Linked DNA regions of Coturnix japonica. The protein of the gene in region 2 purifies or fractionates together with the protein of the main gene of each other region. This does not show direct contact. Links are inferred from orthologs where the notes say so. Each region holds a gene or a part of one and is shown on either strand. Other genes may lie near its edges. The genes, in order: IFT22, IFT57, IFT46, IFT27, IFT74, TRAF3IP1 and IFT20.

What was found.
Region 1: the proteins of IFT57 (region 2) and IFT22 purify together in Homo sapiens (affinity purification with mass spectrometry; 3 studies listed by BioGRID and IntAct, counting the BioPlex papers as one, with this or other methods). This does not show direct contact. The link is inferred for Coturnix japonica from reciprocal best matches to the Homo sapiens genes IFT57 and IFT22.
Region 3: the proteins of IFT57 (region 2) and IFT46 purify together in Homo sapiens (affinity purification with mass spectrometry; 3 studies listed by BioGRID and IntAct, counting the BioPlex papers as one, with this or other methods). This does not show direct contact. The link is inferred for Coturnix japonica from reciprocal best matches to the Homo sapiens genes IFT57 and IFT46.
Region 4: the proteins of IFT57 (region 2) and IFT27 purify together in Homo sapiens (co-immunoprecipitation; 3 studies listed by BioGRID and IntAct, with this or other methods). This does not show direct contact. The link is inferred for Coturnix japonica from reciprocal best matches to the Homo sapiens genes IFT57 and IFT27.
Region 5: the proteins of IFT57 (region 2) and IFT74 purify together in Homo sapiens (affinity purification with mass spectrometry; 3 studies listed by BioGRID and IntAct, counting the BioPlex papers as one, with this or other methods). This does not show direct contact. The link is inferred for Coturnix japonica from reciprocal best matches to the Homo sapiens genes IFT57 and IFT74.
Region 6: the proteins of IFT57 (region 2) and TRAF3IP1 purify together in Homo sapiens (affinity purification with mass spectrometry; 3 studies listed by BioGRID and IntAct, counting the BioPlex papers as one, with this or other methods). This does not show direct contact. The link is inferred for Coturnix japonica from reciprocal best matches to the Homo sapiens genes IFT57 and TRAF3IP1.
Region 7: the proteins of IFT57 (region 2) and IFT20 purify together in Homo sapiens (affinity purification with mass spectrometry; 3 studies listed by BioGRID and IntAct, counting the BioPlex papers as one, with this or other methods). This does not show direct contact. The link is inferred for Coturnix japonica from reciprocal best matches to the Homo sapiens genes IFT57 and IFT20.

Annotation. Positions count from the first base shown.
Region 1 is NC_029534.1:2,514,441-2,518,740, forward strand, and holds IFT22 (intraflagellar transport protein 22 homolog), read right to left. Parts: upstream 2,801-4,300; 5' UTR 2,740-2,800; coding exon 2,701-2,739; intron 2,447-2,700; exon of another isoform or gene 2,441-2,446; coding exon 2,361-2,440; intron 2,286-2,360; coding exon 2,196-2,285; intron 1,872-2,195; exon of another isoform or gene 1,661-1,871; coding exon of another isoform or gene 1,567-1,660; exon of another isoform or gene 1,477-1,566; coding exon 1,274-1,476; intron 860-1,273; coding exon 711-859; 3' UTR 228-710; downstream 1-227. UniProt on the Homo sapiens protein: Small GTPase-like component of the intraflagellar transport (IFT) complex B.
Region 2 is NC_029516.1:78,426,430-78,430,684, forward strand, and holds the start of IFT57 (intraflagellar transport protein 57 homolog), read right to left. Parts: upstream 2,801-4,255; 5' UTR 2,744-2,800; coding exon 2,589-2,743; intron 2,007-2,588; coding exon 1,844-2,006; intron 1,002-1,843; coding exon 883-1,001; intron 1-882. UniProt on the Homo sapiens protein: Required for the formation of cilia. Plays an indirect role in sonic hedgehog signaling, cilia being required for all activity of the hedgehog pathway.
Region 3 is NC_029539.1:4,769,186-4,773,454, reverse strand, and holds the start of IFT46 (intraflagellar transport protein 46 homolog), read right to left. Parts: upstream 2,801-4,269; 5' UTR 2,701-2,800; coding exon 2,398-2,700; intron 1,982-2,397; coding exon 1,842-1,981; intron 1,649-1,841; coding exon 1,574-1,648; intron 1,461-1,573; coding exon 1,367-1,460; intron 931-1,366; coding exon 802-930; intron 558-801; coding exon 436-557; intron 193-435; coding exon 126-192; intron 1-125. Other genes in the region: ARCN1 (coatomer subunit delta), read left to right, coding at 3,010-3,012, 4,213-4,269. UniProt on the Homo sapiens protein: Forms part of a complex involved in intraflagellar transport (IFT), the bi-directional movement of particles required for the assembly, maintenance and functioning of primary cilia. May play a role in chondrocyte maturation and skeletogenesis.
Region 4 is NC_029516.1:47,150,678-47,154,177, reverse strand, and holds part of IFT27 (intraflagellar transport protein 27 homolog), read right to left. Parts: coding exon 3,428-3,500; intron 3,225-3,427; coding exon 3,126-3,224; 3' UTR 1-3,125. UniProt on the Homo sapiens protein: Small GTPase-like component of the intraflagellar transport (IFT) complex B that promotes the exit of the BBSome complex from cilia via its interaction with ARL6. Not involved in entry of the BBSome complex into cilium. Prevents aggregation of GTP-free ARL6.
Region 5 is NC_029547.1:60,476,065-60,479,564, forward strand, and holds part of IFT74 (intraflagellar transport protein 74 homolog), read left to right. Parts: intron 1-63; coding exon 64-162; intron 163-327; coding exon 328-388; intron 389-879; coding exon 880-939; intron 940-1,815; coding exon 1,816-1,877; intron 1,878-2,317; exon of another isoform or gene 2,318-3,004; coding exon of another isoform or gene 3,005-3,330; intron 3,331-3,500. Other genes in the region: LRRC19 (leucine-rich repeat-containing protein 19), read right to left, coding at 3,005-3,330. UniProt on the Homo sapiens protein: Component of the intraflagellar transport (IFT) complex B: together with IFT81, forms a tubulin-binding module that specifically mediates transport of tubulin within the cilium. Binds beta-tubulin via its basic region. Required for ciliogenesis.
Region 6 is NC_029522.1:3,293,141-3,297,081, forward strand, and holds the start of TRAF3IP1 (TRAF3-interacting protein 1), read right to left. Parts: upstream 2,801-3,941; 5' UTR 2,728-2,800; coding exon 2,605-2,727; intron 2,337-2,604; coding exon 2,268-2,336; intron 890-2,267; coding exon 728-889; intron 1-727.
Region 7 is NC_029534.1:8,043,255-8,046,686, forward strand, and holds IFT20 (intraflagellar transport protein 20 homolog), read right to left. Parts: upstream 2,211-3,432; 5' UTR 2,180-2,210; coding exon 2,053-2,179; intron 1,971-2,052; coding exon 1,885-1,970; intron 1,388-1,884; coding exon 1,284-1,387; intron 948-1,283; coding exon 866-947; coding exon of another isoform or gene 856-865; 3' UTR 501-855; downstream 1-500. UniProt on the Homo sapiens protein: Part of intraflagellar transport (IFT) particles involved in ciliary process assembly. May play a role in the trafficking of ciliary membrane proteins from the Golgi complex to the cilium.

The DNA.
Region 1 (4,300 bases), on a different chromosome or scaffold from region 2:
ATGGGATGCTGCCCTGGTCCTCTCTACTGTAAATTGTCCCCTGGTTAAAAAGAAAAGTGTCAGTATAGATATATTCCTCTGGTTTTCATTCATCATTTCTTTGGCTATCTGAGTCCATAGTTTTTGCAAACTTCTCTCGTTGGATCTAATTAGCGTGAAACATACTACAAATTTATCACAGCTTTCCTCACTAATAATTAAGGAAGTTGATAAGACATACAAGAATGTAATTCACTTTCCCTTTGAGGGCAAAAAAAGATGCAATTTTATTATAAAGACAATTTTATTGCCTTAGTATTACATTACAAAAAATGCCTTCCACAGCAGAATACAGTAAGAACAGGGATGAATGTAAACCAAACAAAACAGAAAGTAAATCAACTATGAAACCACTTATTTCAGTACAACAGGGAACAGTAATCCAAGTTTGAAGCAGCTTTTCCTCCTCTGAAAAATGCAGCACTTATTTTCCAGCTTATTGGAGCTCCAGGAATAGGCCAAAGTAATTGCACTGCACTGAGGTTTTGATTCCTTCTTACTCAACATGACCCATATCTTGTCCCCAACGAGGGTGAGTTTGTTGCAGTAGAGGAAAAGCTGTCATGAGAAAGGCTGCAACTTTGACTTGCCAGAGTCAAAAAGTTGCAAAGGATGTTGCTAGCACGGCTTACAAAGTTAAAACAATCCTTTCTCTTTATTTTCTTCTAGTGTTATGAAATAATTGACATTTCTTCCTTCTCTCTGCTCTCATTTAATACATTTATAATGCTTCTGAAGTATTTCATAAATTCCATCCGAACATCTTCAGGATCTTCTTCTAAGTTGGAATGTATCAGTTTCAGCTTGTTCAATGGGTAAGCTTTGAATGCAAGAAAAAAATAGTTAGGCATGTTCCTAAATGCAGCACTCATGATGAATGTCATGGGACAGTTCTTGCTGAAGACATCAGCTGGAATTCAGTAGTATCTGATGTCTCATACCCCAAATGACATATAATGTGAAAACGAAATGCAGCATAGCTTGACAAACAAGAACTTGCTGCTAGTTTAAATTCCTCAAATGTTATAATTAAGACTCAAAGTATTGGCATTGGTCTCACATTCAATTAGGCATAACTGAATAATTCAGCACTGAATTGCATTTTACTACTGAATTGCTAAGAGTTTTGAATTATATCAAAATTAGAGTGGTGTTATGTTAAATATGTATTAATATATTAATACTTATAATAAGAACTTGTTTGAAAACTCTGAGCAACATTCTGTATTCTCACCTAAGGACAGATTTTCTGTGTCCTCTGCACTGCCTGGCTTGTGATGTGCAACGAGGAGACACTGGCTATCGAGCAGTGGCTGCTGCTGCACGAAACACGAGTACCACATTTCGATTTCTTTCAGGTGACTGGGCTGCTCAGGATTGAAGATTATTATTACGCCATGAGAATCCTTCATAAGAGCTGGCCAGCATGTTTCAAACCTTGAAAAAGAGGAGCATGGAAAATGGTAAGACTGATAGCTGGAAAATGGAAACATGCAGTCAAACTTGGCAAAGTTTTCTTCTCCCCACCTCAACAATGTACCTTGGTGGATGCTCCATCCCTGAAGACACTCAAGGTCAGGCTGGATGGAGCTCTGAGCACATGATGGAGCTGTGGGTGTCCCTGTTCACAGATGGCCATTAAAGGTCCCTTCAAACTCATACAATTCTATGACTTTATGATTTCAGTAGCTTTTTGTGAAAATAATGTTAGTGATCTCGCCAATATCTATGATATTCCAAATAAACCTTCTTACTTATTCCTAAAAACTAATCTGTCCAGTTCAGAACTGTAATCCCGGGAAATTAAAGGCCTCCATCATATAAATACATTATTTGAAATCCATTCATGAAATAATTTCAAACAGATAAAGGCAGGGCCTCTGCTTTGCCTCTGATTTCATTTTGAGAACCATGGACTTGTTACATTCAGTCCTTAATCAAAACTAACACAGTCAGCTGGCATCACAGAGAGGGTTACCCAGTATTAAATGCTTTACAATAGAAAGCAATACATATTCATACAGGAGTGAAGAGGTGGGAATATTCCTCATCTCCAAAAGATCATTGCTTTCAGGGTCTTATGCATGAGAACGTTGTGTATACATGATTAATATGAACTGAATAACCCAGAGGAAGTAACAGCAATGCCTGCTTACTTCTGATCACCGCTGCAGTCCCACAGCTCAAATCGACACCCAGCTCCTTTGCTGTTCCCATTTAAGTTCGGCTTCTCATACTCCAGGATCCTGTGAACACAAGCAGGTACATGATATTATCCACCACCTCCTGCAGGTCGGTTCATTCTACACTGTTGTTCTCACCTTACTCCTTGTGTCGGGACATAGCTGCCAATTCCCTCTATGCTCTCTGAAACAAAATTTGCCAACACGGATTTTCCAGACTGATACATGCAAGAAAATAAAAAGACAACCGTATGAATTCAATGCACCAAAGCCACAACGAATGGAATAACACAGGGTTGCTCCCAACACCCTGCCCTCCATTGAGATAACTGCATACAGTCCTGCCCCTCTGCCCCGTCCCACTGAGGCCCCGCCTGGGAAGTGCAGCCCTTTAGGGTCAGTCTCAGTCCCCGATGAGGATACCCAAGGGTTACATGCAGCCCTAAGGACAAGCAGCGGCCTCAGGGCTCTCCCTCACCTCGCAGGGCCCCACCAGCAACACCTTGGCCTTCAACATGGCGGCCGCCCACGCGTGGCCTAGCAACGGGAGGGAGAGAAGGGGGAGAGGGAGGGTGCGCTGCGATTGGCTGTGCTGCCGTCACGTGGTGGAAGGGCTGGGTATAAAGTAGGGCCGGCCGGGGTGATGAGGGCAGTTCAGCGTTGCCGCTGTTGTGTTGCGGTTGTAATAGTTGAGGGGGGAGCGGGTGGTCTGTGAACCCTGTAAACGTGCTTTAAATGGCAGCTAAATCAAACAAAGCAGCCCCGAGCTGCCATCTGGCACACAGCTGTGCCGCTCCGGAGCTGTTTGGTGCCCACGTACAGCCCTGCTATCAGACGAGCTTTCAAACATTGCATTTAAGTGTTCCCATAACATAAATGTTTATTACGGGTTCTAAATGTGAGTCAGGGCTGCTCTGCTCTCGGCTGGGAGCTGGTTCTGTCTGTGTGTTATTGGTTTGTGGGGGTACGTGTGTGAGTCAGGCTGAATTCACAGTGCATGGGGCAGCCTGTCCTTAATGCTCTGTGCTGCTGCGGTATTTCTCGTGTTTCAGACCCAATAAATGGGATGGGTGACCCAGAGGGAAGTGATCAAGGCAGTTCTATTAGCTGGCACATCCACAGGTACATGGAGGGAAATGTGATCTAAAGGGCTGGATTGTGGGCAGCAAATTAGAAGGAAATAATGGACTAAAAATGGGTAAAGCTGGCTGCTGGTGCAGCTGCCCAGAATGCAATAGGGATTGATTTGTAGATGAAGTATCAGATCACATCCTCCTGTGTTTGTATCAGCCACTGAACAAGGAGAGCACAGGTGTGATTTTCAGATCTATTCATGTGCTTTAGGGCTTCAGGTCGCTTTAGAAAGTAGGAATTAAGCTGCCTGTCCGCTTAGGGTGATGTTTTCAAAGCATCTTGATGTTGATGTTACAATCAGCATCTGCCTTAGGAGTTAAAGTTCCGTTAGTTACTGATCCATCGGCTGAAAACTCAATCTGTAATTGAACTGCTTCCAGGCTGTCCTGGTAATGGTCTGTATGTTTTGCATTTATGATATGGCTGCTTTTTCACCATAACGTTTTGGTAGCAAGCAAAAATGATCTCCAGATGATTCTGTGCGGACAGATCCTCCTTCTTCCTTCCAAAGCAATTGCAGGCTATTAATAATATGTTAGTAAAATGATTCTTAGCACTGGAAATGTCTGTGGGAATTCAAACAGAGATGCAGTGATTGCTCTATCATGACATGTGGTGCTTGCTGCTTGAATTGCAGATAAGAGTCTCCAAGTCAGAGGCCCCTCCAAGTCAACACATCCCAATACTCTTATTTTCTGGTTCATAGTATGTGAATCTAGAGAGGAGATTTAGCTCCGGTGGTTTTAACTCTTAAGCTAAAACTGTTTAGGATGCCTCTAATAGATGTCGCTTTTGTTACTCTGAGTTTCTGTGGAGCAACAGTAACACCTAGTGGCTAAACGTGCCAGTCCATTGCCTTCTTTTGTTCCCTCCCTTCAAGAAGTACGAGTTGGAGGGGACTTGGTGTGATTGACAGCTTTGACTTGAGAGGCCAACACTCAGCA
Region 2 (4,255 bases):
TTTCAGGTTAAGTATGAATAATGTGGAACATGAACAGACAGTGGTTGTACCACACATTTAAACAAATTAAATTATTGTCAACCTTCAAAGTCTTTGGTTACCTCAGACTGTCTTAAAAGTGAGGACAAGTAATCAGGCCAAGCAATAAATTGTATTCATGCTGCTAAGACATCTAGGGATTAAGTTTTCATTCATCTTCTCCTTTGGTCTAACTTCTAAAACTTCAAGTGCAAGTCTCCACAAACTCATTTGTAGCCTATTTTGGAATTTGTGTACTAAATGTTGGTAGCAATAAGATACTTTAAAAGTAGAAATTACTTTGCCATACAATTTAAAAACACACCAGAGGGAGGGGATGAAATCAAGAGCAATTTTAAACAAATTGCCATACACTTGAAATCGTTTGCCATCTGAACTCTGTGAAGATTTCTTTTGGATTCAATACATAACGTTATAGTAGTCTATTTGTAATAGGATCACATGTTGTGTGAGCTTCCAGCTGAGGAGCTGGATTTAGCTACTGATTGATGAGACCAAAACAGACAGATAAGGAAACATTTCAACTCAAATGTTAGATTAACAAGCAGTTACTCGCAAAAAAAGAGACCAAATAGAGGCTATTGGTCAAATCTTAATTAATTAATTTAATCTACTGACAGCCCAAACTCACTCTTGCTGGCAAAAGACTAAGATGCATGAAGTGGTATTAGGAATCACCTTGTTCCATTGCTTCAAGCCTAACTTAATTTTGCAGCTCATGAAACGTCAAGTAAAACATTTCTGGACAATATTATATTTTGTGTGCCTCCCTTTATAACTGCCATTTCTATTCGTTTGTTGAAAAATATTGTGTATATGAGGATTCTTCCAAGTGTACTATACCTTTTCCAGCTAAAGCCACTGTATTTCAAGGCTTCTTCGGCTAAACAATCAAGAACATAACAGGCTTGCTCTCCATAACCCGCCTTTAATTTTGAGGGAGGAAAATCCACAGGCCTTCCCTAAAACAAAAAGATATGATGCTGTTTACTGATGGCTATAAATCGATTTCATTTCAAAGCAGTAACCAGATTTTTTTTTTAACTAAAACCCAAGCGTCCATCATGCCAAAAGATTTTACCAATGCTATTTCACATTCTTCTCCACTGGAGCTCCAGTCAGGCAACAGGATTGGAAAACAAAACAACTCAAGGGACAGATGCAGTGCAGAAATCCTAAACATGGTAAGTGATGTTTAGTGAGCAGAAGAATCAAACTGTAAGGGAACTAGATGGTTAAGAACAAAAGTGCCATCCTGGCAAGGTAAGATCAGCTACAGAGGAACCTGGGTACTGAGATTAAACCTATGCTTTTCCTTTTTCTTTTAATCACTGCCTTGTTTGTTGCAGATGTCTCTCCAGAGAACACAAACACAACTTAAAATATTTCCTTTGCACTTAATTCCATTTTTGAACTTGGCATGAGCAGAATGTGAGTACATATTGTGTAAGCTTCTAAGGTAAACTGTGTAAATTATGCCACTATAAATGAACAGCACTTGTAACACTACAAGAAGCAAATCAAGATTAAATCTTGATTTAATCCATTTTACAGACTGTGGAACAAAACTAAATATAATATTCTATGGCCATTTTTGTAGCGTCAAAAAACAAAGTAGTACATACAGACAGTATAAATATCTAATAACTTCTAATTAACATTGTTCAAACGCACAGAGAGGAAAAGCCTGTCCAGTCCTTGGGAAGATAATCAGATAGGACAGGAAACATGTTATTCCTGATATTTATGAAGGTCACGTCCGTGCCTGAAATGCACTTGAAAAAACAGCATGTTCAGCACTTACAAATGATCGCAGTTCCGAGAGTATCTTTGATATTATTGCATTGGGGTCATCATATTCTTGAGGCTGTTCGAAGTGATGCCCAGCTTTAGTGATCAGCCAAGCGGCGAGAGTGCAGAACACGAAGAACTGCTCACCAGGATTAGTGGGCAGTGCAAAATAGTGCCTGTTTAAGAAAGGGGAAATGGTAAGCAATGGTGTTTTGAGCTACTGAGGTAATTACAGAATCACAGAATTATCAAGGTTGGAAAAGACCTAGAAGATCATCTAGTCCAACCATTACCAATACTTCCAGGCTAAATCATATTCCTCAGCACCACATCCAAGCGTTTCTTGAACACTTCCATGGTCGGTGACTCCACCACCTCCCTGGGCAGTGCATTCCAATGCCTGACAACTCTTTCCGAGAAGTAATACTTACTAATTACTTCCTAATTCCTAATTACAGCACAATGAGTGAGCACAGGCTAGGAAAACAGACTCTTAAACAAACTTTCCCCACACTCCCCAGCTACCAGATGGGCAAGAGGTTGGTGTACCTACACTCGTGCACAGCCTGGACCAGGAGCTTCTAAATTCTTCCACTCACTCCCACCTACTGTGCGATCTATACAAACAGCACTATTTGGGATCAAACTAAATAGAATAAGGTGTTCTGCTGCCACACCTAACGCGCCCTGAAGGGCACTTCCACCCCCCCTAGCGACCCCACAACCTCCCCATCCCGCTGGGAGCGCTCGAGGGGCACCTGGAGAGCGGCCGCACGTTGTGTCGCCTCAGCACCTCCTCCTCGTAGCTCAGCAGCTTCAGCTTGTCCAGCAGCTCCTCCATCAGCACGAAAGCGGTGTAGGCCGCACCGGGACCCCGCTCCACCACAGCGCCGTCCTCATCGCGCTCCGCCATCTTGGAACCACACGCCACAGCCCGTAACCGAAGCAACCGGCTCTACCAATCACCGTCTGCCTCTTCCTCCATGCCACCAATGGCGGCTCAGCGCACTCAGGTCAACGGCGAATCAGCGCTCGGAAACTCTCCGCCCATCCCACAGGGTTGGCAGGAGCTGGATTGGCTGCTGCTGTGAGAGAAAGCGCAGGGATTGGTGCTCCTCGCTCTGAGTGTATGTACTGATATACAGTACCAGAGAGCGCAGTGGGGCAGAGGACTTGTAGCCATGGGAGTGCTTTGGAAAGGGAAAGGGCACAGCCCCGAAGAAAAGTTATATAAGCCTGTTAAGCTGTACCTTCGCTCCCTGCCTCCAAGAGGAGCTCCGGGTGCTTTGCTGTTCGTGAACTCTGAAGAGGTAAAACTAAATAGTGCTCAGAGCAACACTCTGGCATGAAAGGGTGAAAGCTGGGGTGTAGAAGCAAAATGTGTGAGGTAAAATGTGACGTTTCAGGTCTGCTTCTTAAGAAAGGTTCCATTGGGAGTATTTCTCACTGGCTGAAGTTGTGTTTGGAGTCTGCGTTTGGTACATTGGCATGCAGTTGGCATTTAAGGCATGTTCTATTGGTGAGCATTAATGCTATTTAATATATTGTCTTAATAATCTTATTTTCCCCTACAGGAACAGGTTCCTGCAAGCCAAAAGGTTGGACGTGCATGGTAGGTGATCTTTATGGCTGGCTCCAAGCCTTTCTGTGCTTACTGCTGATACGGACTTTTTGTGCGTGTGATTCTTCCTTAGTAAAACATGATGTGTTCAGGCATTTCTAGCTTTCTTAAGGCTGCACGTGCTTGGAATGTGCCATTATGAAGTTACTATGAAGTTACCTTAAAAAGCAAAGAAACAATCCTTTTCCTAAGAACTAATAACTTTTGTCTGACAAGACAGGGAATGTTGTAATGTGTGACCACTCCCACATGCTGCTAAGAAGTAAGTATGCTAGGTGAACCCTTTGGCCAGGGTACAGGTAAATTGGAAACAAAATGTCACATTCCAACAAGGTGACAAAGCCTTTTGCTGTTTGTTTCATATGGTGGTCAAAGCAAATGCTGGAAAACCTGATGCATACAGTTTTCCAGTATCTAACTTGTTTTCTCCTTGCGTTGGCAACTGCTGCTAGTTAGTCACTGTAGCTAAAGGTACAAATAAATTAATATATTGAGGTTGTTTTACTCTTGCATAATCTCTTCTTCAGGTTTAAGAATTTGGTGCCCCTCTGGCCCCCTCCACAAAAAGTGGTAATACATAAAATCACTCTTGCTTTGCGGAAGAAGCTACATGCAAAATCCTTGGGATGTAAGATTCACACGCACCATAAATACAATTGCACACACCAGTCAAAACTCTTTGTCAGTATTGGTGTAGGATAGAAGAACTGACCAGCAATCCCAGCCAAACCTGTGCCTTGTCTAAGTTAGAGTGTGTGTAGGTCTCCTTTCTGGAGGGACAGAGGAGTAGGGGAAGCCCTTTAG
Region 3 (4,269 bases), on a different chromosome or scaffold from region 2:
GAACAGGGTGCAAGCAAACTGGTCAAAGAGGAAGAGAAATCTAGATTTCAAGTGGGATCATTTTTAATGCTGAGCCCTGAACATTTTTAATTTGTAATGCTGTGCCTGACACTTGGATGCCATACCTTTCCCAAGAGCTCCTCAAATTCTGGTGACCACTCCTGCATGAGGGTCTCTATGTCAGGCATGGGCCTGTAAAGGAAGAAAGAAAAACAGAAACATTAGGATTGCAGGCAAGAAGCTGAAATGGCTTCCTACTGCCATTGCTGTGAATGGGACAGACAGTCTTAGCACTAAGGCTAAAGAAACACGCTAGAACAACTGGCCTGAAACTCAGCACGTCTTATTCCTCTCAGAGACACTGAGATCATCCTGCTCAGTGCTCCTGGACTTTGCCACCCACTGACCTGATGTTCTGCTGACATAATGACTCACCGGCTGTAGTGGACAGTGGCAGGAGGTTTGCAGCGGTGCAGTTCACTGATGTTTTCAATCCAGTTGTCAATGGCTTTGGGGTTCTTCTCTGCATTCTCCACACTTTTCACTTTTATCTGCTGCTGAAACAAAAATAGAAACCTGGAAGCACTTTGTGGTGGTTTTCCTAAGTCTGTACTGAGACTTGCCTGAGGCAGGGCTTAGATACATTTCAGTTTAAAGCTATAGGTCAAAAAGGGTTATTTTTCTGCTTTTAAAGCCAAGTTATCAGTTGTGTTGTGTTGCTATAGTCCCACAAAGAGTAAAGTGCAATGTCTTCATTCTAGCCTGGGTGCAGTAAATGTTTTCTCTCTCCCCATGACTCACTGTAATGTTGTGCTGTTTGGAATTCTCCGTTAGCCAAAGAGAGAGTACTGTGGGATCTGACTGCTTTGTTGATGGCTCATCTAAGACCAGCAGACCGAGGTTATCAGGCTTGCCATCTGGGCGTGGGACCTGCAGGTAAAACACAGAAGGAATCCTCTATGGGAGTAGCAGGGGATGCTGGAACTATTCTGTACAGCTTCTCCCTGTTGTTAGAAATTCAGACTCAATTCAGAAGAAATTTGTAAGCGTGATGCTTTGAAAGAGCAGAAAATACGAGTTGTTAACACAGCGGTACCTGAAATGCATAAGGTGTTGGACAAAGAAACAGGCAGCCCTTGCACCAAATTACATATGTGCTATGTGGGATGTTACCAAAGTGACCAGCCAGGTCATAGTGTTGCTATTTGTGATCTCCTAGGTGTCTACAGCAGTATCTGCAGCACAGGGCAAGGGCACCTCGCTACCACCAGGTCAGTGTGGCTGCAGTCTGCCAGGCTCATATCTAAACCACCTTCTGTTTCACCCTGTGTGTCAGCAGGTATGGGGATATCTGAAAACACTGTACCTTTAGGAAGGCATCAATGTCTCCAACAGCAGGAATGAAGTCTGGAATAAAAGGCTGCAGTTTGTGCTCAATCTGTATTGTTTTCGGAGTGTATCTTGAGAGAGAAAAACAACAGGATTGCATAGTGGGCAATTGACATTTCCTGCCAGAGACAAAGACCTTGAGACAAAGGAGAACCCAGGGCAGGCGAAAGCTCCTTCAACTCACCTCCTTATGTATTCAAAGAGTTCTTTAATTTCAGGAGATACCGGCAGGTAGTCATAGTTTGCGAGGTTGTAGTCACTGAAGAGAGGAAAAGCAATTCTTGCAGACATTACTTCCTATCAGTTTTTGTACAAGAACAAAGGCACGAACATGGATCCAGCTGTGCCCCAAAGCAGAAGCAGGACACTCTCACTGTAAGAGGCTTCCTGTCCGTGCACAACTCTGTTCAACCCTTTTAAGCCACGGGTTCCCGGCTCCCTCCGCTGCTCACCCCTCCAGTGAAGCCCCGCGCTCCTCCGAGTCCTCAGAGTCGCTCTCGGAGGAATCCTCATCATCGTCATCATCATCATCATCATCGTCATCATCGTCGTCCTCGCTGGCGGTGGAGGGTCCCAGCCTGGCCACTGTTTCCTTCAGGGCAGGAGGGACGCGGCCTTACTTACTGTACCGTACCGTGCCGTGCCGTACCGTACTGTACTGTATCGTACCGTATCATACCATACCGTGCTGTACCGTACCGTGCCATACTGTACCGTACCGTACCGTATCGTACCGTACTGTACCGAGCCATACCGTACCGTACCGTGCAGTACCGTTCCGTATCATACCGTATTGTACCATACCATGCCATACCGTACCATACCGTACCATACCGCACCATACCGTACCATACCGTACCATACCGTACCATACCGCACCATACCGTACCATACCGTACCATACCGTACCGTACCGTACCATACCGTGCCATACCGTACCGTACCGTACCATACCGTACCATACCATGCCGTACCGTCCCGTGCCGTACCGCCCCTCTCCCCCCGTACCTTGCTGCTGCTGCTGCCTCCTCCTCCCTCCCGGTCGTTGCCGCGCTCTCCCGCCCCGCTGGGCCGCGCTCCCGTGCCGCCTCCTCCCGACCAGATCGGCCCCGGCCGGCGGGATCCCTGCGGCCGGTTCTCGCTCCCCGCCGCCTCCTCGGTGTCCGGCAGCTCCAGGCTCTCGTCGTACGGCTGGTTCTCCACGGGCCGAGGCTGTGCGGAGGGTCGCGGGGAGGCGATGGCGCGGCCCGGCCCGTCCCCGCTCCCCTCGGCCGGCCGCCGCTCCGCCATGACGCCGCCTTCCGTCGCCATGGCGACCCCGTCTCGCTCTCCCTCTCCCGGCTAGAGCGGCGCCCGCGGCCCGGCCCCGCAGCCGCGTGTGGGTGTCGCCCCCTGCCGGCCGGGGCCGGTACTGACGCGGGCCGCCCCCAGGGCCGCGCTCCGGGTCCTCCCGCCCCGCCCCGCCCCTCGCGTCGTGCGCGGCGCCGCTTCCGGCTGGGGACGTGGCTCGGCGCCGCCATCTTGTGGGGCTGCCCGAGGGGACGCGGAGCCGCGAGGGAGCGAGCGCCGAGCCGAGCGCCGCCGCCATGGTAAGGGTGTGCCCGGCCATGAGCCGCCGCCATGGTAAGGCTGTGCCCAGAGCTCAGCCGCCGCTCGTGGGGCCGCTGCCGGCCGGACCGGGGTCGGAGAGCTCGCGGGGCCTGGCCAGGCCGCTCATCGCTCGGCGGCTCCGCTGCCGTTCTCTGGCCTCGTCCCCGAGCACTGTCGGATCGCTCCGCAGCTCCGCGATGGACCCGGGCCGCTCCAGGCCGTGCTGCCCCGCCGGGTGACGCTGCGCTCCGGGCCCGGACGTGGCGCGGCCTGTGGGAGCCTCCAGCTCCGCTTACCGGGCGCTGCCGCAGGGCGGTTGGGGGGCACTGCCCGCTGTGCGCTGCGTGATGTGTAACGTGGAGGCTGCTTGCAGCGTTAAGGCTGACATCTGTAACCAGGCCTCGTCTCTTGCTGCCTCAGCTGCCAGCTCGGGTGGAGGTCACTTGTGTCCCGTTGGCTGTGGGTGACGTGGAGCTGTGAGCTTTCCGTCCCCGAACGGGACCTGCTGCTTGGTGACAGAGGCCGAGGTGCTGCTGAGATCAGCTGTGCCATTCGGTGCTGTGCTGTGCTGTGCTGCACTCACAGCCCTTTCAAAGAGCAGTTGGGAAATGGAGGCTTATGCCTGTTGCTTTCTTCAAGATATCCCTGACTACAGGGTTCCTATGGCCACTCAATGTACAGCAGTTGCTGGCTGCTCACCTGGCCGTGCTGGGGTTCATGCTTGAAATGTACAGACACTGAAGAACTTCTGGTGCTTCTCATTGTTAGGATACTGTGATTAAAACTGGCTGGGGAGTGAAAGGATCTTACCTTTAGAAACTGCTTTATCTTCACTATGTTAATTAAGAAACTAATCTGTGAGAGAAGTATTTCAGGACGAAGTCGAGGCGGAGAGAATGAGAAAGGGTGAATTGGCAGTTACCTTAATGCCTTTCTATTGTTGGTGTGATAACATCAGTGAAATGCCCAGGAGAACCATCCACGTGCTGTAATTAATATAATGGTCAATATTTTATTAACCCGGCTTAGTTTAAGTGTGGCACTGGGAAGAGATGTCACATTTCAAAGTGTTCTGGTCTTTATTGTGACTTTTCTGCTGGGGCTGAACTAACAGATAAGTCAGTTTTTGCCTAAAGCATTGCTGGGGTTTTGTCATAGCCCTATAGGAAAAGGTGTTGCATTAGCCTGAATGGAGGACTGAGAGCTTTCAATGCTGTGTCTGTGTCCCTATAGGTGCTGTTGGCGGCAGCTGTCTGCACCAAGGCAGGGAAGGCCATCGTCTCCCGGCAG
Region 4 (3,500 bases), about 31 Mb from region 2:
TGGGTTGGAAGGAACCTCAAGGATCATCAAGCTCCAGCCCCCTTGCTGCATGCAGGGCTACCAACCTCCATATCTAATAATAGATCAGGATGCCCAAGGCCCCATCCAACCTGGTCATGAACACCTCCAGGTACAAAGCGTCTACCTCTCTGGGCAGCCTCTGCCAGCATCTCACCACTCTCTTGGTAAACAACTTACCCATGACATCCACCTTAATTCTTTCCTCCTTGAACTTAAAACCATTTCTTTTTGTCCTGGCATTATCTATCCTTGTAACACCTACAGCACTGCATACCTAGACAAAGTAGGAGAGCTATAAGAAGACAACAATGGCCAGCAGACATGATTTCTGCCTTTCTCCCACTGTCTCCCGCAGCACCTGTAATTCAGGGAGATACAAAGGCTATAAGCAACAAACAAACATCCTCACTTCATAAACAAATTTTTTCCACAGCCTGTTTGTATCTGACTCCCATGGTCTCCACTCACCCTTCACTATTGGTCTCTATAACTACGGTCACAAATGAACTAGGAAAATAGTATCACCCACATCACGCTACTGTTACACAGCCTAGTAGCTAAAAAAGACAATATATTATGCTTTCAAAATCCATTCAGACGATGGAGATGGTAATGAACAAACACAGTATTTTGAAGGATGTTAAATTATGACTACTTTAGTGCTTGAAATGAAGAGCAAGGTGGGCTATGTGCTTCTGACACAACCTCTTCTCTAATTCAAGTCTTGGCCTGCAGAAAGAAGGAAAGGGGCACCAGATGAATCCCTACTGCTAGCTAATTAGATCATACATTTTCTCACTTGGGCAATATATCTTCCCCTGCATAGGATGCATTTTTCTTCACTAACCTATCAAAAGCAGCTTCCCAATAAATCACAAATCACCACCAGCACTCCCTTAATGAGATCCTCCAGCTTTTGTGTTCATTTAATAAAACAATGTTCACCAATCTTACTGGTGCATTTAAGCTGTTTATTTGAAGTTATGGGAGGTCTTTCTGGTGCAGAGAGATTAAACTCACCCGTTAAAGGTGATCGTTCAGGACTCATTTCATCACCCATTCCTAAGGCATTCACCTCCCTGCCCCCATCTATCACATCACAGGTGGCAGACACACCTGGTATTCTATTTTCAAGATGAAAAAAAAAAGTCTTGTGTTGCAATCATATCATCAGTAGAAGCAGGGGAAAATGAACTACCTCCTTTAGATCAGCTCAACATCCAAAATAACTGTTATTCCTAATAGTAAGAGGTACAAGCATGTGCAGGCAAACTTCCATTCAGTCTATTGTAAATCAACACACACCCTCAGGATTAACAAGGCAACACATGTAAGTTAAAGCCAACCCAAGCCTAAAGAAGGTGAGTTGTGTCTAGTGACCCTAAGCCCACAGAGGAGTCCTCCTTTTCTTGAAATAAGAGCTTTCCCCAGCTAGTTCTGTCACCTTTTTCCAAGTGGATTTGTAAAAACAAAACAAAACAAAACAACAACCTATTCATTTTCTTTTCCAGCAGGCTCAGTGCCTGCTTAACCTCTAGACTGTATTCATGCTCCCTAGCTAATTCCCAGCATCAACATAGTGTTGCCAGTAAAATGAGCCCAGCTGCTATTCCAGATTCTTGAAGTGCTTCATAAACTCTGCTACAACATCTGCAGTCATATTCCTAGCACTGGGCATAAAAGTGGTTATAAAATATACGTATAAAAATATTGAAACACAGATTCCTGAAAAGCTTGCCTGAAAAACTACTTACTGTTTATTCTCCTCAGAAATTAGCCTTCCTTACCCAGGGGAGGCTAAAATAGTTCTGGAAGAGGGGAAATGTTACAGTTTAGAACTGCAAGGCAGTACTTAACTGGATGTTTTCACATACTGCATTAGCAAATATTAGCAATTCTTATATATGCAATGTCAACATCTCACACAGAGTGTTCTGTCCATGCCTTTACCCTTTGATACAAAACTTCCAGCTATACATGGCTGAATCAAATTCACTTAGCCAGTTTGTCTTTTATTTCCTGAGTCCTGTTTCCACTTCTGAAATCAGAATAGCTTGTTCTTTGAAATGCAAGGATAAGCAGGGAAAGTTTAACAACAAAGATGATTGATTCTAGTAAGGGATTGAGAACTAAGCCTAATGAGAACATGATGTTGCTAAGTTCAGCTGACAAGATACAAAATGAAATAAAACCAAATAAAATAACAAGCGCATGAAGAAGAAATGGCAATTTCCGTTTTAGACTTGCCCCTGGAATAAAAGAGGTATTCTCACCATATGACTCCATTTTACAGATAAGCCAATTTGGCTAAGACTGTGTGAAGTCCTTGCTTCAACAGAGCAAGCTGCTCCAGAAATTTTGTGACCGAGGGCCAGCAGAGGGCACTGCGTTACCAATTGACAGTGGTATAGATGCAAGACAGACCAGCAGTGGAAGAGCCTCGTTGAAGAAAACCAAATTCTAGTCATTAAAAAGAGATGTTAGTCATCACTATATCAATCCTAGAACTGATAAGAATAACACTGTTAAAATAGGTCTCAAATTGTGGGTGCTCCCACAAACACACCTAAATCCAATTCAATCCCCACACATCTGAGACGCTACGCGTCCATTTTAGGCCACAGACTTTCAACTGAAAATGCTTAGCAAGTAGTAGGGCTGAATCAGTCCTGCCCTGCGATGTATGTACCAGTGCTGGGTTGCTTAAGCAAAAAAGTATCCTGCCAGCTTCCCATCTCCTCCTTCAAATCTCTACATCCTTGCTTGTAGCAGCAGAAAGTTTGTTCAGACATGAGACAAGGCACTATTAACAAGGCAAAAAGCTGGCAATTTCCATTCTGCCTTCCCCCTTCTATTCCCTGCCTTCTCCAACCTAACAGACTTTCAGTTAGCAAAGAACCGAGGTAACAGACATGAAGGTGATGCTAAGGTAGCAGTTCCAAAACAATGTCTGTCCACTCACTTATTTCTAGTTTATTTTGAATTACCAGAAGATGACCGCGAAGAAGCAAAAAGCTCATCTTTTTTCCTCTCTCTGTATTCCAGTCCATAGGATTCTGGGCACTAGAAGAAGCTCTGAAGATAAGTCATCCCAGTCATGGCCCTCAAGCCAGTGAATGAAAGATTTCCACTTTTTCTTTGTACAGCTGGTAAAATGACTTTGCCAGGATGTTGAAAGGGGCCTCAAAATTTTTCATCTCCTTCTGTAGAAAGAAAATTGTAAATGACAGATAACTAAGCATTTCACTATTTCTGTTCAAACAGCTTCACAAAAGAGACTAAAACTGAGGGTGAGTTAAAGGACAAATAAGTGGAAATGAGTCCCCAGTCATTTACCCTCAGCTGAAAGAGAAGATAACTTCACAAATTCCCACTTCTATAGAAGGCGAAAAGAGCAGATACTCACTACTGACATCTCACAGTATTCCAGGCCGTGTTTGTCAGCCCATTCCTGCGCTTGTTTCTGTTCCACAACTCGA
Region 5 (3,500 bases), on a different chromosome or scaffold from region 2:
GTTTTGTTTTTCACTGTGTTTCAGTTTTACATTTAATTTTTTTTTTAATGTTATTTTTTGCAGAAGCAAAACCAGTGAACTCACAGCAGAAATTAACAAGCTGCAGGAAGAAATAAAAATGTACAAGGAAGAGAAATCTGCTTATTTGTCATATGAGAGAAGGTGAGCTCTGTGGCACCTAACGCAAAGTTAACTTTCTCAATCACCAGACTTTGTTCTAGGCTACTATTCAGGCTTCAAAGAACCATTGAATTAGTCTTTTTTATTATTTCATTTGGATTAAATAACGCTTCCTGTTTTAAGTTTGGCTTCTTGCTTTGTATTCAGGGCAGAGGCTTTAGCTGGTGAAATCAAAGAATGGCAAGGTCAGCTCGAAGACTACAACATGGTATGCTTGTATCAGCTTTCTATACTGAAAACACGCTTTGCCCTTCTTTCCTTTGTTTGCTACTGATTTCGCTTTACTTCAACTTCTTTTTTCATTGCTGTTTCTCCTTAAAAGTGTAGTGGATAATGATTCTGAGTTTATTCAGTTACCAGAAGAGGAAAAAAGAAAACAGAAGCTAAGGAGAAAAAAACAAGAAATTTTGATATGTGTAAGCATAAGGTGTTGCTGATGCAATTAGGAAATCAGCGCTGTATGATAATTGAGTTTGTACAGCCGCATTAAATGAGAATTACTTCTTAGAACTGTGTGTAATCTGTTCAGGTTTAAAAGTCAAATCTTTTTGTTTCTAGATAAATACTGTATTTTCACAAATGCTTTGTGAGTTGCTACTTATTTTTCTGTTTCTTTTTTTTGTGTGTGTGTGTATGTACTTATTTTTGCTTTTTAACTAAGTAAGAATTCTGACAGGTTGAAATTCTGTCTATTATCAGGTTGTGGATCTACTTAATACCAATACAGACATAGCAGAAGTGATTCGTGATTACAATTTGGTAAGAATTAAGATATTTGGTATATTTAATCAACGGAATGGCATAGATTAGATGTCAGTGCTTTGAACACCTGACTTGTATAGAAAAGCACAATACTAGTTCAGAATATTTATTGTCTTTTCTAGTTTAAATTGGACATAATACTTGGCAACGTTATGTGTTTGCAGTGAGTTAGCCATGTAAAGTCTGGGCAGATGATAGTGCTTCTGTGAAGATAGTGCACCTGTGTCTTGGATTTGAGAAGGCTGTTTCAAAGTTAAATTGCAAGTGTTGCATTACATTATTTATCTGACTAAAAAGCACAGAATGCTGTGTGTTATGTTTTCTGTCATAAATAACTCCAATCAAGTCTGTGATGTGGACAATGTTTTTCATGATAATGAGATGAATTATCCAAGTATTAAAGCTTTCAAAGCATGTTCCGTTTCTTGAGACTACTTTTCCTGTTACTTTGGTAGCTTGAAAAACCACCTGTGTGTTTCTTGACCATTTTTATTTTCCGTGTTTGACTGAAAAATGAAGTCTCATTGTCTGTGTCACAAAGGGAAGAGAGCTCTGTTACACTTGCATTCTACCTCTGGGCTTAAGCAGTATTGTAGTAGTGGATCCCATAGTAATAGTATGGAAATTGATTTGCTACAGACTTGCTTGCACTTCTTTTTCAAGCACAGAAGGGCAGTGGAAGGCTACAATTTCAGAAACTATTTCTTCAGGACAGCCTCAAACAGCTCTGGAGCAGGAGGCCTCTGCTCCTCCTTTCTCTACTGCATTCTGAGCAGCTTCTTTCTCCATTGCAGAACCTTGAACTTGTGCATACACTATGTTTTCTTCTTATATATTATATTCAAATATATATATTTTTTCTTTTTTCTCTAGTTAAAAGTTCAGAATGACCGAGAAGCTCAGAGTGTGGATAAAATTTTCATGGAAAGACAAACGTAAGTGCACGACTTATATATGCCTGTCTAATACTGCCAACTCTTGACCTGAAAACGGTAAAATGGAGAAGTTACTGAGTTCAGAAATTTGTCAGCAGTGTCATCCATGAAAGTGACGATATCCCAACATTTTAGATCATATATCAGTGTCAAGTTGAAGCTGGAATTTCTGCCTTTAAATTCTTCTGAGTAACTACTGCGGTGATAACTTACCTTGTTATCCAGAAAGAAATAGGTGGCATTGAATTCTCCTGGTGTGTGGAGACCTACGGATTGCAGATTATGGGTGTTGTGTTGTAGCAGACAGGGAAAAGTAAAGCGTAAGTGGGGACTGGAACTGCAATTCCTGTCTGGTACAGTAAGGATGCATATAAAGAAAGTGAGCTGTTTGCAATAGGGATTTGTAAGTCATGAGAACAGTTGGTGATAGGCTGAAAGGGTGATATTTGTAAAATAGCGTTTTGCCATTTATTAAGAAGGCATTTTTCACTAAAGCTGTGGTTTTCAGCAGCTTGTAAATATGTCTGGTTTGTCTGTCAATATATTTCTAAGTGTTAACAAGGTGTGCAGAGACTTGGTATGATCAAGAACTAAGGCATAAAGGTATCAGATAAGTAGTGCTGCTTATCATTTTACTGTATGTGGGCACATTTACGTTGGTCTACTGATTCAGTGTAGATATTTATAGGTATTTGTTTTGCCTGTTAATGCACCGATCTGTTGGATTCCGTCCCCCAGTCTGTGTTCTATTTCAGTGATTTAAACAAAGAGTTTTTTGTTTCTGGCTTCTTCATCTATATGGTGTCAGTAATTACATCAGGCTCACAACCTCCTTTTAAGGACTTGGTCCTCTCAGGCAGTGTGGAGTAACCTCTTTTCCTCCCATAAATCATAGTGCCTTTTCTCAAACGTGAATCATCAGTATTCTATCATGTGTCAAAATATTTGTTGTGACACTAACGTGGACGTGACCAAATTTGTAACCTTTGTGATTTGTGCAGCTGTTCTCTGTCGCAAAATTCTTGAGATGCGAGGCTGCTTATGTTCCTTTTATACTGTATTTAAATAGCATAATATGGAAGGCTGAATAGATTGAAGAGTCAGTTCATTGTCCATTGCGTAAGATATTAGCTCTGCTCAGTTCCATAAGTATCTATGTATTTGTCCTCAATAAAGCCATCTTCCTCAGGTTCAGAAGTGTTAGTTTTGTCAAATATTACTATGGGATCCTCATTGTTTGTATCTGATATCGCAGGAAAAGAATTCATGTCAGCTGAGAACTCCTGTTCAAACATCTCAGGGTCGTTTTCTTCCAGACGACGGTGTCTGTAGCTCATCAAATACTGGTACCATGTTGGGCATTTTATGGCAGTAAAAATTAGGAGTGTAGTGCTTAAGACAAACCCCAGCACTCCCACGAGGAAGGTCCAGCTTTTGCCGAGAACTGGAAATTCTTTTAAAACAGACAGGAAAAAAAAGTTAGTTATATCTTCATGTGTAATCTCTGAAAGAACTCTAGTATGAATTTCTTAGTAGTTAGATTGAGAACACCTAAACAATCACAGGGGGATAACTGATTTATAATAAAGCCTGAAAAAATCACTTGTTTTATGGCTTTGATGA
Region 6 (3,941 bases), on a different chromosome or scaffold from region 2:
GATTTTCTATTTCTTTTGAGACGCACCTTATATTTCTGCTCTTCTAAATCAAACACCTCTTTGTAACTCTTGCAATAATTTGATCATGCATACTAGGCTTATATAAACAGGTGGTGCTTTTTATCTACTGTAGCAACACTAGATATAAAGCTAGTTAGAATCCAAACCTTTTCCACAGTGCACATCCAGCTTATGTTTCACAGTAAAGACAAAGGGCTAATAATCTTGGCTCGAATGGACAGACATCAGCCTTTGGTTATTACATCTCATCACGACGCTGTACAAAGCTGTACCATCAAACTCAGCCCATTTCACCTCCTCCCTGCCAATCTCAAGCAATTAACAAGGAAGAAGTCTGTCTCATTCAGTTAACTGAAGGGAAATAATAGCAGTGTAAACTATCAGATCATCAGACAAAGATTACCCAGACAAAACCTTCACACAGCTTGTGAATACTGTAGTATTTTGCTGTTCAAGGAGCAGTTTCTTCTCACTCATCACTTCACAGGTTTTTAGATGGATATCTAGAATGTATTTGTATGGGGACCTGGCTCAAACTCTGCTTAGGATCACATTCTATACATCTGTTATTATAGTGGTAACCCAACACAGTATATCTTCTGTAATTAAAAGTAGCTAATGAGTGTCAAACTCTGCCACAAATGAGCTCTGATAATGTATAACACAAATACATATCTCTGTAATGATGTAGATGGAGATGTCATACCTTTTTTAAGCAACACTTCCCAATGGCTTGCAGAAACTCATTTGTTTTCTCAGGTTCGTGCCCAGCCACAACACGTGCTGGTTTTACTGACAGTGGCTCTCCTGTCACCATTACCACAGCATCGATGGCCTTCTGAAGGAAGCTGATTTTGGCATCTTTATCCTAGAAAAACAATTCAGAAATAGCTGTGAGATCCTATAATAACTCCGTACACCACCTCAAGGTTAGGAAACCTCTGACAGGAGGAATCAGCTGCACAACATTCTATTAAGCACATAATCATAGACTCATGGAATCACAGAATCATAAGATGCCTCAGATTGGAAGGGATCTCAAGGATCATCAAGTTCCAACCCCCTGCCACAGGCAGGGCCACCAACCTCCAGATCTGGTACTAGACCAGGTTGCCCAGGGTCCCATCCAACCTGGTTTACATACACATCATATAAAGCTGACAGGAAACACAACTCACTGAGATCCATCCAGCTGCACGCTCTGTCAGTTTGATGCAGTTTACAGATAATTCCCGCCTACGAAATCTGCTTTTTGGATCCACAAATAAAATGGACAGTGGTCTCCAAAAAGAGAATTAACCATGTACTAAGCTACTTTTCACGGAACCAATTATCAGCCCTAGGAAGTGAATAAACCACCCATTTAACTAGCTATAGGCGAGCCAGTAGCTTTAGTTGCTATGTTAAACAATCACCAATGGCTGTAGCTGTTTAACTAGCAACACACAACATGCATTATCTGCCATGAGTAAGTGACGAGTTTTGAGCCTAGCTGGTATTGGGAGAAGGCAGCATGCATTGCTTAGCAAAAGAGGCAAGCACTAGAAGGTGAGCAAACACAGACTTGAGTCACCCTCGCACTTAAGAAAAGCATTTTCACTAATAGCATTACTTTCAGTAATCAGACTTTCATAATGGCTGTAATAATGGTAATAAGACTGTTGTAGAACACGCATAACAAGATGCATTATTAAGCAATAATATCTTCTGTATGCGTGTATAAAGTGCATATATATATATATATGGATCCAGAGAAACACTCAAGCAGTGTTCTGTTACTTGAGGGGAGCTTATAAACAGCAGGGAGACCAGCTTCACACACAGTCTGATAGTGACAGGACAATGGGGAATGGCTTTAAACTAAAAGAGGGGAAATCTAGGTTAGATGTTAGGAGGAAACAGTGAGGCTGCCTGGAGAAGGGCAGTGCTCAAAGCCAGGTTGGACGGGGCACTGGGGCAATGTGTTCTGTGGGAGGTGGCCTATGGCAGGGTTTGGGCTTTGGGGTCCCTTCCAACTCAGAACATTCTGATACACCTCAACATATCCAAAGAAAGCCCACCATACCTCCCACTGTTTCTACACCATGCCTGAATAAAGCAATGGAAGCTGAACACAGGAAAGAATCACACACAGAATCACAGAATTACCCGGGTTGGAAGGGACCTCAAAGACCGCAGGTGCCTTGCAGCACGTCTCAGAGCCCGTTTTTATTCAGGCTGAATAAACAAGGAAGCTTCGTACCCACCTTGACATTATCTGACTTCAATTCAAAATCCGTGTAAAGCCCTTTCATGAAGCCCGTCACTCTAATCACCTTGAGAAGACAAGGAAAAGGATCGAGTTAAGGGCACTCGAAGCTCCTACAGAACAGCATTAGGCGGCACTAGACCGTGGCCTTATCATTAATGATAACTATATTAGAGCAGAAGGCTGCTGCCTTCCAGCACGGCGCGTCACACAACACGAGCCGGGACCCCACGCCCCTCCGTGCCCCCCCCAGGCGGGGTTACACCCCCAGCCGCCAGGGGGCGCCCTGCTCAGGGGGCGCCGACTCTCCGAGCCCCGCCGGCGGGGAGGCCCACCTCGGTGATGACGTCGTGCAGGTATCGGAATGGCGGCTTACTCAGCAGCCGCTCCGTCAAGGGCGGTTTGCGGATCACTCGCCCCAGACTCTCCTGTGTCCGTCGTACCACCGCCTCGTTCATTGCGACGGCGGGGACGGCGCCGCCGCCGGCTCTCAGCGTTCCCAGCCTGCCCCGCGGCGCAACGCGCCTCACTGCGCATGCTCGGAGCCGCAGCACGCGGTTGCTAAGCACCGCGCAGCCATAGCAACAGGCACCGCCGCCATCTTAGGCCCTGCCTACGTTATGTGAATATAACCAGGGTCAACAAGGCCGAGTGTGAGGTGTTGCACTTGGGTCAATGCACTGCAGATATATATATACATATAGGAGAAGTATCTAATCCCATACAACCTGTCAAATGCAGTGGTTGTATTAATAACTATCAAACAGTGAAGCACCGGTGCTCAGTTAATATGTCTTTTGGTGATTATTAATTTTTAGTCATTGTTCTTTAAATAAAGTACAACAGACTGACACACTCGGAAATTAATGAGGTTCCCAGACAGGCTGTGACTACAGGATCCTGTAATCCTAGGAAGAAGAAAAGGTGTTGACAGCTTCTACATCCAAGAGGTCTCAGAGGAAACAGACTGGGAAGAAGCTGCTCTAGGGAAGAGGGTTGTTTATGTTGGAATCATATGGTTGATCTGGATTTCTGCCACCAGCTCTATGAAAGTGTCTGTAATGCCTGAGAATGAATCGTGGGGGTTTAGTTCAGCTTGACCTTTGGCATGCTCAATTTGCTGAAGAGGCAGTGCCCCAAGGAAGCACAGCTCAGTTAATTGAGGAATCAAAAGCAAGGAACTCACTAAGACTCCATGAGTCCCCGTGGTACTAAGGGGAGGCACAGCAATTTAAAAGGTATCCTAACACTGTAACAGATTGCTTGAGGTTTAGTCTGGAGACTCTTCTGCTGGGGAATATACATGCATGTTGACAACAGAAAGCACCCTGTCTGTCTCTTCAAAGTTGTGCCCACTTAAAGTCTGAATTCAGTGGCTGTGTGCCTTTGTGTTACCAGGCAGAAGCAGGAGCCCAAAGCTGCCTTTCACAGGCAGGATTTCTAGCGTGGCTAAGAGCAGTGTTGTGCTCAGGAGAGAAGTCCTGACACCGTGTGCTTGGGAACATCCTCTTTCTCCTATGATTTTCATTGGGTTACACAGGTTATACTCAGATGTCCAAGAATACCTTAGGCAGAGAAACTCTAACTGGGTATTACTGCAGAGTACTTGTTTTGAAACAAGAACTGAAGGTGGACACCCAAACCCACTACCACCTCTATAAAAAGGAGGACC
Region 7 (3,432 bases), on a different chromosome or scaffold from region 2:
GGTGTGTAACTTAAACCTCCCACAAGCTTTGAAAAGGGCAGCGTTTTCTTATGTGGTTGCCTAAAGACAGGTGTAAAATGCATCTATTGCTGTTTGAACAAGAGCCTTGATTTTAGGTCACAGACATTCAGTTTTTAAATGCCATGCTCATATCTATGGTCTGTATGCGTTCCTGGTGCCACTACACGCTGAGGGTTGTTTGTCTCATCAGTCTGAAGTCCTACGGTTAAATTGCAGTATTCCACTGCAATGTTACTTCAAACACAGTTTAATCTTAATTCTCTGTTCCTCTTTGTGTGCAACTGCCCCGTTCTGTTAATCACCAATTTTTCTGACCAGTTTAGGAATTCCCAGGCAGGAGTTACCAACCACTGCTTCTCTCTTTTGCACGTTATGCTGCTAGGAGTGTTAAAATGGCTATATGAGGGAAGTCCTTCATGATGACGATCCAGGGAGTCACAAACTTACGAGCTCCCCAGTAACAAAGCAGAAGAAGCTAATTCTGGTATGTCCAAGTAGGTGACAAACAAAAGTTTATTGCCTGATTTCATTGAAAGAGCTGTACATTTCAAAAAGGGAGAGAGACATTAACAGAGGAACAGCAGTATTAATTCAACTACAGATTGAATCTGAACTACTGACTGTATAAAACCTTTATAAAAATCAAAGGACAGAACAGTCTTACAGCTGTTAGAAAGCCCTCCTTATTGCCACTTGTAGTGTAACTCACACTGCATTAAAAAACACTTTTATTTGCACAAACCATCCTTATTTATTTGCACACAGTGAAAAATTGCATATTTCTGAAATAGTCAAAGAGTCTGGAATGCTCGTGTTTCCAAGCTGGTCTTTATCTTAAAGTCTTCTATTTCTGAAAAATAAATTGGTCAATGAATTCATTCTGATCCGCTTCAATTTTACACAGACTCTCATATTCTATTCGATATCTGAAAGACAAAGAAAATAGGTTACCAGCTGATATTTTAGTGCAGTGCTCACCAGTCTGAGAGCGAAGCTCAGGGCTTCGTGTGTGTCCTTTTTAAGGCAACAGTCACATGAATTAGACTTGACAGTTCTAAAAAGCCTTTAGAAGTCACCTGCCTGCCACTCTTACTGTTTTATTAATTTCCACAGTTGTATGATCTCACATCACCTCTATCCGGATAGCCACAAAGCCATTAGAAATGATCCTTCTCAGTACGTGGCTGTTTCTCTCACATCTACACAGCTTTCTTTCCCAACTATTACGTCCATGCCCCAAAAACACTTAATAGGAAGCTCACCTTTCCAGCTGCATCTTTTTCTCAGCTATTAAAGCCCGCAGCTGCTGTTCCTGTGCTTCCCTTTGCTTTGCTATAGACTTCAGCAGATTCCGTGCACCGATGGCCTGTCAAAACAGACGTTTGTGATGGATCTGTACAAGGAGTTTTAACCCCTTTCACTACCAGCAGGTCGCGATGAAAGTCTTTCAGCCGTGCTAAGAGCAAAGGGGGCATCGTCCTGCTGGATGGGCTGTGGAGCAAACACAGTCCCTGTAGGGGCTGGGCGGGTTGAGGCATCTGAGGCTTCCTTCCAACCTGGGATATTCCTAACAGTGTGAAATAAACTGACCCCCTGGTGGCTGCTACCAACAGGAGGCTCAGGAGTTTCTCCCACAGAACAAACAAGGGAAAAGTAATCACAGCTGTGCTGAAAATTCATCTCCAACCCCATAATAAAGTGAGAAGATAAAGAGCGCTTGGTGACGTGTATTAGTGCACGTTTCTGAGGTAGTTACAGAGGTTTTTACTGCGTGAATCGTTGGACAGCCCTGTCCTCAGAGCCCACCATGAGCTGCGTCCTGCCAGGAGGTGTGACTACAAGGACAGCCCCAACGGACCGTACCTTCATCTTCTCGCTCTCGACAGCTCTGGCCAACTGGTCCATGAGCTCGATCAGGCCGCCCACCGTGCTCTGGAATTGCGCTATTTCTGAAAGAAAAACGGTCCCGCGTTCGTGGCTGTCAGCGCTGCGCGGAGTGAAGCGGCGCCCCCCGCCCCGCCCCGCACTCACTGTCCACGAAGGCCTTGCACTCCTCGCGGAGCTGCGCCGTTTGCTGCGCCACGTCGGGGTCGAGGACGCGCAGCTTGTTGAGCTCGTCGAAGTGCAGCCCCGCCGCGCCCAGCGCCTCCTGCGCCATCCCGGCACCGCTCGGATACACGGAGCCACAGGAAGCGCTGCAGGGTGCGGCGCAGCGCGCAGGAAGTGACGGGCTGCAGCGGGGGGGACGGCGGCCACGGGCGGTGAGCGGACTGTAGGGCCGGGCGGTGAGCGGACTGTAGGGCCGGGCGGTTCGGTGACGTGGGGCCGCGCGGGCGGGGCTGCGGACGCGGAACTTCGGTGTGGCCGCCGCGTTCGGGCCGGGGACGTTGCGGAGGCCACGGACGCGCCGCCCGACGGCCCCGCGACACCCGGTCGGCGCTGCCCGGACAGGCCGGAGCGGCCCGCGCAGCCGGTACGGGGCAGGGGAAGAGCGGGGCGGGGCGGAGCGCGTGTCCGGGCCCCGCCGGTTCAGCTCGGGGCGCAGTTGTCGCTTTGTCCTGTTGCTTTCTCTGCTTTGTGCGTCTTTTTTCCTTTGTCTCTTCTCGTTTTCTCCCCTCGCGCCGTTAGTCCCGCTCCTTTTCGTGGCCGTGCTGAACAGGGGCCGCTTCCTGACGGCGGTGCCGTTGTTGTGCTGCGCTCCGGCCGGAAGGGAAACGGGGCAACATTTATGCGTGTGTTAATGTGGGTAATTAAAGGTTCAGTCTGTGTTTATCGCAGGAGCCTCCTACGTGATCGATGATCAGGGACCTCAGTGACGTTTTGTCTCCCCGGACACGCTGTGCAGCGGGTTCTCATTTTGCTTTTTGGTTGTTTTTTTGCTTCGTCCTTCTTGGTCAGAAACGTAGCGACGTGCCGGAGGTGCGGCAACTACAGAAACCTTCACTAGTGCACGTGTTCAGAGATGCCGCTGCTGAGACTGGAAAGCTTCGTGCACACCCAGAGCTCGTTACGGACTCTGGCTGTCCTTAAAAACACGCTTTTATTTTGGAGGAAGGGCTCCTGTGGTCTGAAGCAGGATGGGACACCGAGGGCAAACCTGCAGCCCTGAGCCATGGTGCTGTTTTCTCTGGAGGTTGTAGGTGTAGGACAGTGCGCTGCTGCTGCTGCTTCTGGTTTACTTCGGTGTATGACAATATAACCTAGAGTTGACAAAAAGTAACTTTGTTGCTGGCAACATGGATTTCTCTGGAGCTGCTTTATTTGTGCAATTAACTTCTTACAGAACACAACTGTAATAAGCAGCTGCTAGTTGCTGTTGCTGGGTTACTGGTGGGGAATTGCTCCTCTGAGCAATATTGTGCTGGCTTTTAACTGAGACAAATACTCCAAAGACCAGACATTTTTTAGGCG